Linked DNA regions of Nothobranchius furzeri. The protein of the gene in region 1 interacts with the protein of each later gene in a pairwise test. Links are inferred from orthologs where the notes say so. Each region holds a gene or a part of one and is shown in the gene's direction. Other genes may lie near its edges.

Evidence for each region.
Region 2: the proteins of tmem79b (region 1) and plp2b interact in binary tests that used the Homo sapiens proteins (3 or more experiments, as listed by UniProt). The two-hybrid records come from large-scale screens. The link is inferred for Nothobranchius furzeri from reciprocal best matches to the Homo sapiens genes TMEM79 and PLP2.
Region 3: the proteins of tmem79b (region 1) and sec22a interact in binary tests that used the Homo sapiens proteins (3 or more experiments, as listed by UniProt). The two-hybrid records come from large-scale screens. The link is inferred for Nothobranchius furzeri from reciprocal best matches to the Homo sapiens genes TMEM79 and SEC22A.

What each region holds. Positions count from the first base shown.
Region 1 is NC_091745.1:66,345,911-66,349,564, forward strand, and holds part of tmem79b (transmembrane protein 79), read left to right. Parts: intron 1-2,353; coding exon 2,354-2,909; intron 2,910-3,477; coding exon 3,478-3,654.
Region 2 is NC_091755.1:41,892,514-41,895,791, reverse strand, and holds the end of plp2b (proteolipid protein 2b), read left to right. Parts: intron 1-1,670; coding exon 1,671-1,767; intron 1,768-1,839; coding exon 1,840-1,853; 3' UTR 1,854-2,706; downstream 2,707-3,278. UniProt on the Homo sapiens protein: May play a role in cell differentiation in the intestinal epithelium.
Region 3 is NC_091754.1:31,841,891-31,846,210, forward strand, and holds the start of sec22a (vesicle-trafficking protein SEC22a), read left to right. Parts: upstream 1-1,379; 5' UTR 1,380-1,515; intron 1,516-4,320. UniProt on the Homo sapiens protein: May be involved in vesicle transport between the ER and the Golgi complex.

The sequences.
Region 1 (3,654 bases):
AAGACTAACTTTAAACACTATGTGATGATGAACTAAGGTGGAGTAAGACTGAGGTTGGTCTGTGTGTGAAATATGTTCAGAACCAGCAAATCCAGAGAAACGATTAGTTCTGATGGGAGTGAAATGGTGTTTCGCTCTAAGCTTTGGTTTGGAGATTATAACACACATTGAGACGCCATCTGTCAGTCTACGTACCCCAATGGAAGTCCCCGTTTAGATCTGGAATGTCGGGGGTCCAGCTTGGACCCTCTTGGAACCGACGACTGTAGATATGCAGCGGTTGCTGACCCTTCCAGTCTTGAGTTACTCCCAGGTCACAACAGTTTATTGGCATCAGCAAGACCCTGAAGGGGGTCGTGATGGTTCAGCTTTTATTCTAAAGGAACCGTTGCAGCAGGTGGAACATGCAACAGATTTAATCCAGCTTGTCGTTAGGTTATTTCGGCTTTAAGAGGAAAGTTACGGATTGGCCACTCTGATAACTTCTCTAGAACGCTTGGAACTCCAGTTAAGATGACGTGGGGCATAGTTTTATAACGTGGATGTTTTGATTAATGGTCGAATCAGAATTTGACACAAAAGACGATTTAACAAGCACCAACAAAACCACGCCTCGCGTCAGATCTGGAAGGTTCTGATTGGATCAGAAAAAGGAAATGTGTCATGTGACTTAACATTACGTGTGATCAGTCTAGTGTAAATATTTAAATTTATATTACTTATCATAGGATTATAATATCAATATTCTCATTTCACACATTGATTGAACATTAGCTTCACATGATTATTTGGACTAACAGAAGTTATTTAATTATTATTTAAAGAGAAAAGTTCTTTCTAAAAGAGTTCTTCTTTTTTCGTTCTTGTGCTGTCTGGGGAAGTAACAGTTTAGATAAGAGCACAGAGTATGAGTGGCCTTGGCCCACATCTTGTAGATTAGGCTTGTGTCAGAAACTTGTGTTTCTGCTTGGGCAGAGCAAATAGAGCAGGGCCTTTTAGGTCAAAGATGGGCAATTCATCACGCTACACTATGTACTCTTGTGTGATATCTTGTGTGCTATCCTGCTGTACCTGAGCCATTGCAATAATGCAATTTCCCCACTGAGGGACTAATAAAGGTATTCTCATTCTTATTCTTAAAAGAACAAGATTGCAAATATGAGGAATCTGTTAAGCGGCCAGTCTCAGCCATAGAGACAGGGTGGAGAGCTCGGACATTCAGGAGAGCGTCAGAGTAGAGCTGCTGCTCCTCTACATCGAGAGGAGCCACATGAGGCGTTTCAGGCATTAGCGTAGGCGTTTCAGGCATTCGCATAGATTTGACATTGGGGGAAACTTGTAAGTCTACCATCCTCTCAGGACCTTTGGTTACACTCACTTTCGGCCTTGTGTGTCTCATTGCAAACACAGGGGTCTTGCATTTGACTGGTACGTTTTCCTTCAAGCTTTGGTGCTGCTAACAACCAGCGTAGTTTGTCTCACGTGAGTCTCCCGTGATGGCACGCGCAGCCAATCACACTAGTCATATGAGGAGAGAACGTCAGTTAACCCTCTCTGCACCTCTAGGGTAATGAGACATTGAATGGCTTGTTTTTTAGTGGAGGAGGTCAAATTATTGGTGGTGGGGACACATCACCTCCATCCATGCCAAACCTACGCCCCTGTGTCGTGCCAGTAGGAGGCCCCTGAGTCAAACCAGGGATTGTATCTGCACGTTGGCTAGGGATCGTCTTGATACTGTCGTTGGAGCTTGTGGAAGTTGCCGGGAAGAGAACAGTGTGCTCCTCTGCTGGAGCTGCCGCCCCATAACCTGCACTCAGATAAAATGGATGAACGAATGTATATACATTTATAGATGTGGGAATTTAATATGTCAACTACGATCTGGGGTTTGGGTTTTGCTCTTGGTCCTGGTGCCTCTATAACCTGACCTTAGATAACAGGAGGAAATGATGATCCCAATAAAACTCCCATCAGAGATCTGATCCCAGGATGTTTGTAGATTTTTCAGCTTTCTGAATTAAAAGTGTACAGATAGAATTTGAACGATCTAATATCAAGCTGCAAAATTAGGCACTGGGTCAAATTTAAGAGGATTTCTAAAAGTTTTTTTTACTACAAATTTTTGACCAATTTTCTTGGTTGTCTTACTGATGATGGTTTACGTTAAAAAGTCTGTTCACACAAAAATCCGTCTGATTTTATTTTGTAAAACAGTCAAAAACTCACCACTGAAATAAACTGATGTTAGAGGTGCTTCCTGTTTTATTCACATCCATATGGAAAAGGTCAGAGATGTTGGTCTTTCTGCTACCTGGTTATAAGGGAGACTGTCTTCTGTTTCCTTGGACAGATGGAGATGTCTCGGCTGACACATGATCATCCCTTGGCAGGGGATACCAAGATGGAAGACAGTGGGGGGACAGAACCTGGAGGAGAAGACAAAGCAAAGATGTCAAACACGATGGAACAGAGTACCCAGCAGTGGCCTGGAGACCATAAGACAGATGGGCAAACAGAGAGACAGGCAGGACAGATGGGAGGACAGAAGGTTAAAGGTGACGGGATGAGTGTGAGGTCCGATTCATCTCTTCGCGAGGCATCTAGTTGGACAGAAAGTGAGCGACAGCTGAAGACAGAACAAGGAAAAAGGGGGGGAGGGGGAGAGGAGGAGGAGCTTAAAGGTGAGGAGTTGGGAAAAAAGGAGGAAGCTGAAGAGAACCACCTGCCAGGAAAAGCAGCTCTGGTCTTCAGTCCATCTGTAACTGTCCTCCCCTGCCCCTTGTCATCCAGAGACACTGAGGAAGTCTGGGAATCAGAGAGGAGTCCCTTTCTGAGTCCTCATGGAGACAACTACAGCCAACATGGCTACCAAGATCAATTTGCCGAGGACGCGCCCCCTGCCAAGTGTAAGTGTACCTGCTTTTTTTCACCGATTGGCCTATTGGCCTTTCTGTCATTGTTCCATTGTTTTTTTTTATATCTATTTATTGATTCAGCTGGATGTCATGAACATTTGAAATGACATTTAAAAACTACTTGATTTGATTTTGTGAACGGCTACACCTACCAGAAGTAGGGAAAACCGGGAATTCTGTCCGATTGTTTGTGTAATTAGCTAGCAGTGACCTAAATTCAGCCGACACTAAGAAAAAGGTAGCCTTAAAACCTGAACTACATTTAATTTGTAGTAGTTGACATATTTTTATGAGGCTGGTTTATCATTTTTGTCGTTGAATATGGAATTCAGCCTAGAGAAAAAGTTGCTGCTGTTCCTCAAACGGAAGATAAATTAAGAGCACAGTGTTCTTAGTTTATCTTGACTAATGCAGACAGAGGGCCGAAAATGATGCGACTAAATAGATAAATTATTTAAAGAATTTGAATGTGTTAAATTATTAAGTCCAAACTTGGTCTCAGTTTCTATATGTTTTACCTATCTGGTGGGGCTTGCTGACACTGTTTTACCCATTTCAGGTGACTGTGGTTGCCCTGACCGAGATGCCCTGAAAATGGGCGTCTCCTTGATGACATCAGCGCTGTTTTTCCCATTTCTGGTGTGGGGCGGGTTTGTCTTCCTGCCGTTTGATGCACCTCTGCTTGATAGCGCCCCCCTCAGGCTTGTCTACACTCTGCGTTGCTCTGTGTTTGCTG
Region 2 (3,278 bases), on another chromosome or scaffold:
TCTACTCCAAGCCCCTCCCAAATATCTGAGCCACTCACTTCATAGCAGCCAATCAGGGATTGGCCAGAAGCGGCTTGCTTTCTTAAAGTGACAGAGCCCTGAAACGACTCAAACTTTTGAAGAATAAAGTTGCTGAGATAAACATGTGAGGGGGATTCTGTGCAAAGAACTCCATAATATGCTTTGTACAGATATATGGAACAGTTTAATAAAAAGCTATATTTAAAAAAGAATGCCTCCACTGGTCGTTTACAGGTGTGCAGAATGAAGGTACAGCATTTTCTTTAAAAGCTCACTTTTAATTAAAGGAATAAATATGTATTTGGATGGGCACCACACTGGTTTTATGTTTACATCTACCAGCCAATAGAGCGCACCGTTGTGGGTTACCAAACCGTACGCTCCACAGACACAAATATGTAGACGCCCCGTCGACTGCTGCTGCCTATTGGAGCTGCTGTAGTTGCTGGCCGCCATCTTAGATGGGTCTCCATTTGCCCCCAGTGCATTCATTTCTACTGAGGATGGTGCTTACTCAACTAAAAAGCACATTTTATCAAACTTTTTCACAAAGTCAGACACATGGTATAACCTGATAAATAAACATTTTAATATAAAACGAAATAAATATTTAAAATCCTCTCGGGAAGGCTAGAAAAGTCACTAGTGATCCCACGTGATCTTTTATTTGTATGCTGGTTGTTGCAACCATAGGCTGCACAGAACCCGGCATAGTTGCTCACCCAGCTAAGTTTGGAGTGAGGAGACCCATCCAATATGGCTGTTACGCTCTCCAGCGCCCAATGGGGGGTCCACTATGGGGAGAAAAAAGTCTCAAAAGATCTATGTGTGTGTATCTAGATTTGTGTGTGTGTAAATGGATCTATGCACATGTATCTCGTGATTTCAAATCAAAATCAAATCAACTTTATTTATAAAGCGCTTTCACATGCCCAAACCGGACAAACAAAGCGCTGTACACCAATAACAAGCACAACAATAAAACAGACATATAACCATTTAAAATACAATAAGAAATCCCGAGTACAAGTTCGCAATCCATATCAGTCCTTGTTCCAGAATCAGATCCAGACACATTCAAAGTGATGCTGCTCATGCAATCCCAGCTTCAGTGTCCAAACGCCAACGAGAACAGATGTGCTTTCAGTCGGCTTTTAACGGTCTCCAGTGATTTGGCCTGCTTTACGTCGGCTGGCAGCTCATTCCAAAGACTTGGTCCGAGCGCCGAAAAGGCACAACTCTACGTATAGTCTACGTATTCATGTCTATGGTCCGTTCGGCACAGCGAGGCTGGCACTGTGGAAGATGGCGCACTCGGCAAGTCAAGCAGCTGCTTCTGAACCCAGAAGATGTCGTTATTCTTTTCAGAAGAGGAGCGACCGTAAAAGATCTAAAACCAGAAAAAGTTAAGGTGGAGCCTACAACAGATGGACCCAAATAAAACATTTCACGTAGCGTCAGCGAACCTGGTTTTCCTGATGGCTGGAAACCTCGTTCTGTTGTTGCAACTGCAACCTGTACACACTAGATGTTTCTTTGGTTTTTGTGTTCCATTTACCTCCTTTAAGGTGTGTGTGTGTGTGTGTGTGTGTGTGTGTGTGTGTGTGTGTGTGTGTGTGTGTGTGTGTGTGTGTGTGTGTGTTTTATAGGTCTTTGGTTTGTTTGCGGGCATCATTTATGCATATGACACCTACACCATCTACCTGCAACTCCGAAGCGGCGAACAGCAAACGGCAGTTCCCAGCAGTAGGTTCAGCACCCTGACACGACGCAGATCTGCCTTCTAGTGTCTAAACCTCTTTTTCCATGTTTGCACAGGTGACAAAGTTTAAGCCGTCTGATCCACGAGTCTCTGACTCCAACACACCTGCATCACTGTCTCGAGAGCGGCCCGGGGGCGATGTTGGACCAGCAGGTCAAAGGTTAATCATTGCAACTGTACAGAGCGAATGCATGAGATGTATTTAGGGCCATGCCTCAGCGTAACATAAAACAGACACACTGACCAAGTGAGCGTACTGTACATGTCTTCTACAGGAGGAATTTCCCTCCTGATGGTGTTATTTTTTATTCCAACCTCGTTATTCGCCAAAAATTGTAACCTGAGAGCGACTGATGTCACCAGGAAGCTGCTCTAATACATTTTCCTGCTCTAGTTGTTAAGTTGGTAGTAACTAAAACATTAGAGTGGTGTTCAGCATTTCACTCTGCTGTTTATTGCTTTAGTCACACATAATTCTTTCATTCTGCCTGTTTTTATGTTTTATTCCTGAATCCTAAACATTTGACGTGACGTCAGTTTTACTAATAGAGGCCTTCGATCGTTAACCCATGAATTGCGGTGGCATTTGTGTCGTCTCTGATTCTTGCTCAGGTTATGATTTATTATTTCATACATGTGTAACACGGTGGTTTGAAGCTGCAGGATGCGTTTCTGTTGATCTTTTGTACTACCCACTCTAGTAAAGGGAGGTGTTTTTGTGGAGGTAGACGAGGAAAAATCTGTAATGAGAAAGTATTGCTGCAACTGTTTCCTCCACCTCAACCCTTATGTTGGTCGTTTGGAGGAAAAAAATTGTCCTAGACTGACTTTTGTTTTCTAATAAGATTTTAAAAGTGTACAATTTGTCATTTTAAAATTCAGATCAGCTTTGCTTTGAGAAATAAAGCCATTATTACTACAAACAGGTGTGTGTGTGAATCTTTTACCATACATTTATAATGAGATATTGATGTGTGTGACCTATTTTGACCAGGCAGTGTGTAAACATGTCCTTATGAAAACTAAATGCTGCTTTGTGGTTATCCAGTTCTTTAATTGAAAAAATAACATTTCCAGCCTCATAATAATGAGAAAATTCTGCAGACACCCGTAGAGATCACTGCATCACATCCGGTGTTAAACCTTCCATCAGTGAGGTGAAACGGAACATTCAGAGACACGTGGCTTTCCTGCACAACTGTCTGGAAATAGGTTTGGTAATCAGCTACTGTTAACTCAGTAAAGTGAAATATTCTGGGATGGCTGATGCAAACTGGAGAAGCTGACAAGTGTCATCAAAACCCAGAAAGTATTCGCTGAAGTTTCCATGCAGCGTGATGAGGAACTGTGCAGATGTGCTCTACGGTGTGATTGCAGCTAAATCAGTTCAAAACTCCTTGCTACTGGTTTTGTCAGGCATGTGGTGACGTCTTTCTGAAAAAGGTTTAGTTTCATAATGACAGGTGGGTATGTGCTCTGGGGTTGCTGGAGGCTC
Region 3 (4,320 bases), on another chromosome or scaffold:
TTAAAAATGTTGTTTTACAAGCCTGTGCTAGTTCAAGGTTAAGTGAAATTAAGTGTAAGACTCTTTCAGTTTAATAATTAAAATTAAGACAAACCTAGATGGAACTGACTGGATCTGCCTCAGAGACTGTACTGACCAGCTTTGTGAATGCTCAACCTGAGACTTCTTCTGGAGCAGATCCTCATCCTGCGAAAGACCTCCTGTGTGGTTCCAGTTCCCAAAACATCACATCCCAGGGAACCAGACCACTATAGACTAGTCGCTTTGACCTCCCACCTGATGAAGACTATAGAAAGACTCATCTTCACCCATCTACACGTGTCCCAGGGGTTTAGTAATCAATCCCCCTGCAAATGGTAGGTTGCTGGTTTGAACTCGAGTTTTCAGGTTTTTTAATTGATTATTAAGGCAATTTTGAAAACCTGTCAATGCACTGCAGTGCATACTTTAATGAAACGTCTGCAGTTTTTGTGCTGAAGTTAATTAATATCACTATCCCTGGCATCTTTATAAAACAAACTGATGCCCTTGCTTATGTTCTTTGGTGAAAGGACCCAATGTGATTTATTTATTTTTTTCATGGGGCCCAAAATCCCTGGCGGTGCCTCTGCATGACCCGAAGGGTCGGAACCTATGGTGGTATTTCAAACTGTCTTTGTGCGCAGTTGGACAGAGCGTAAATCAATCAGAGCAATGAGCGACAACATCAACAGGGCAGTCCACCATACACAGTCAACGAAGAAGAAAATGCATAATTTTTCTAAATAAATCAATCAAGCACTTCTATCTGTTCAACACCATCTTGATGATTTTTCTGCTAAGTCCACCCAACACGGAGTGCTGTGAGTGGCCTGACTTCAAATTGTTCGGGCAATGGCAGACCTGCTTGGGCCTGGGGCTATAATGGAGCATGGCTAGACCAACCTGCAAAGCAAAATCTCTTGCTTCTGCTGCAGTTTATCAAGGTTTCTAGGCTAGTCACTTACCCTAATGGAGAATGACTCCCATCCTGCCAAGATTTTTTGCACCACCCCCAACACCACCATTTAAATTTTTCTAGATCTTCCCCTGCAACAGTTACCATGATAAATCTACAGTTTACATCCTTACATCAAGCTAATGCTGTCAATGATGAACTCTATATCTATCACATTCTCCTTTTTAGTGAAACAGACATGTTTATTAGAGGTCATAGAGACTGGTGAGGCGTTTCCTGGTCCACTAAAATTGTTTTTTTCCCCTCAGGTAAATTATTTTATAATAACTATTTAAAAAGATTCTTAAACGTTTATTAAAACTCACTACAAGGCATTTTTTACCCTTTACTTGTTTCCGTTTGTTTATGTTCTGTGCATTTACCCACAATGCACAGCGGTACAGCCACGTAAACGTGACCAATCGCTGCAGGCAGCTCCCTGCAAGACTTTCAGGTTTCTACATAACAGATATCTGCATGATGCTCCTCTCCTTCGGCAGATATTCGCTGCTTCATAACGGGCCCAGTTTTTCCTAGCTGTGAGTGCCATTTGGATATGAGTAACACTTTTATTTAATTGCTAGAATGTATCTACTGGGTATCTCACTAGCTTGATTTAGCTAAGCTAACGTGAGCTTCTTCAGTGGCTCGCTGGCTAATCTGGATTTTAATTAGTTTGTTTTAGTTCACATATTTACGCAGTTGTTTCCTTTTATAGTATGGTTTTGGTGTGTGTAACTAGGTAATTTTCTCTGTTTTACGTTATAACGGAAGTTGTTATTTTCCGGTAGAGAAGTTCAGCGATATAGCTAGCTAGCGTATACATCAGCGCTACAGTTTGATGTTTTATTTTGTTTTAGTTCATCTCAATATTGAAACGTTCAATCAGACATGAACTTCTGTTTTTATCTTTGCCACCAGTACAATGAATGTAAGCGCTAGCATTGCGTCAGATCACTTCCTCTGCGTCTCCTCGCTCATCCGTGGAGCTGTCCGTGGTTCTGACTCAACCTGTCTTTGGATGAGCAGGTTCTAAAATAAGCTTTAATAAAAAAAAAATTAAAGATTCTCAACTTCTAATGTCAGGGCAATAACGGAAATGCACAGAAACTCAAGACCAAATAAATACCGAACCATGATTGAATAATTAATCTTTCTTAAAGTTCCATAATTTTAAGGTGGTGTTAAATTCAAAAACATTCAATTAAACTTTATTAATAAAGTTCTTTTAAAGAGCAAGTCACCCCCAAATCAACTTTTTTTCTGATAAACTACATAAATGTGTGTCTAATTGTGCTGCAGACACGTGTAGTCAATAGTTTAGCACTTTAGTGCTTTTTAGTTAAAATTTTAATTTTCTACCTAAAACTGTCAGTGTTGTGCCGTTGTCAGGTAAAAACTCTGCACTGCATTTGAATTTAAATCTGCCACCGCTATTGGCTAAGAGGTATGCTATGATGTAAACTGGTACATTATGATGTCACAATGCCATTGTGAGCCTGTGTGTGTGTATTTGTTAGCGGCTCCGCCCTCTCGGTCTGCTAGGCAACGGCATTTGTTGCGTTTTTCAAACATGAAGAGGGAGTGAAGTAAGTTGCTTGTAGGGGGTGACTTGCTCTTTAATGCAAATTGGTGTGACGGCAATTGAAGCAAACGAGATAACAGCAGCTTCAGAGAGAGCACACACACTTGCACACACTGGAATAATAATCTTTGTTCAACTTCAAGATGGTTTTAGTCGATAATTTCTTTTTAGGAGATATTTTAAATAGTTTTTTAAATAATAAGACGCTCCAGCAGCGTCAGGATCTACTGAGAAATCCACCTTACATGAAACAATTGCTTGTGGTCATTTGTGTGCTGTGCATTAGCTCCCAGATAAAATCATGTCAGATAACAAACAAGTATTAGGCCATGCAGATTTTTTTAAACTTGTGAATAAATGTAGGTTGATCATAATTTTTATGCTAATAAAATAAAAATAAACTCTCTGCATGGATAAATCCAAGTAAGTTAAATTTTAACTAGTATTGAAGAGTTAACATTTGATACTTCAGAAAGCTATAATTGTGTTTAAGGTCATCCATGATAGAAAACTGGTGTAATGAACATCACCTGAATCTGCCTTAAAGGTGCAATATTTATTTATTCAGCACATTCATTGAGCAGTTACATTTGTTGTATTCTTTCAAAATTCACAACATTACAACAACAACGCTCAAATGGAGTAGGCTGAAGCAAAGAAGCTTATGTGCACCTACCCCACATTACAATATTATACAATTTACAATATTAGACTTTTTGACAGTAAATGTTTTGTTAATGAACCTTTCATGCATATTTTGTTCATTTTATATTTTGTACTGTTCTTTTATATAACAACACATAGTCAGAATAAAACCAAGAAGCTTTTCCATCACATATTCTCACCATATTTCTCAATAACAGACATCTTATATTGTCTTTTAAATAGTAATAGACTAGCAGCACTCTTTAAGTTGTCATCTAAACCATTCCAAAGCTTAACACCTCTACTGGATATGCAGTGAGTATGAAAGCATATATGTAAGAATATAGTGAGAATTTTATAGTGAGAAGAGTCTAATGTTTCAGTCCTTTTGAAAGGAAGGTTATACTGAAACATATTTCCAATCCAGCTGGCTGCGGGGATTGTCAGTTTTTCACTTTTCAAAACAAAGGAAGGAGGGATGTAGCTCCTGTTTACCATGAGCGAAAGAAAGAAAGAAAATTTTATTTTATATAGTGCAAGATGAAAATCATGAGGCACTTCACAAGAACAGAAAATTCTAAATAATAAAACAGATTTTAAAAAATGATTAAAGTCATGGTTAAAATGAGAAAAAAAAACATTTTTTTTTGTGATTAAAAATGCAAGGAGAGGGAAAGAGGCAAATCAGCAGATCCCGGGAAAGGCGGAGTTGGTAGAAAGAGCAGAATAAGGAGAGGATGGTGGTGAAGGTCACACCAAAGCCTGAACAGGTGAGTCTTCAGCTGCTTTTTAAAGGAGTCCACTGATCTCAGGCTCAGGGGGAGAGAGTTCCAGAGTCTGGGGGCCAGAGCAGCAAATGATCTGTCACCTTTGGTCTTTAGCCTGGTGCTGCACAACCAGTAGGCTTTGATCACTGGACCTCAGGGACCTGCTGGGGGTGTAGGGACTAAGAAGATCACCAAAGTAAGATGGTGCTTGTCCATGTAAGGCCCTATAGACCAGAACCAGGATCTTGAAATGAACCCTGAAGTTGACTGGCAGCCAGTGAAGCTGGAGGAGAAGCAAGGTGCGGGGGTGTCGTGTCTCTTGTGAGCTAATACTGCTGCACAGACAA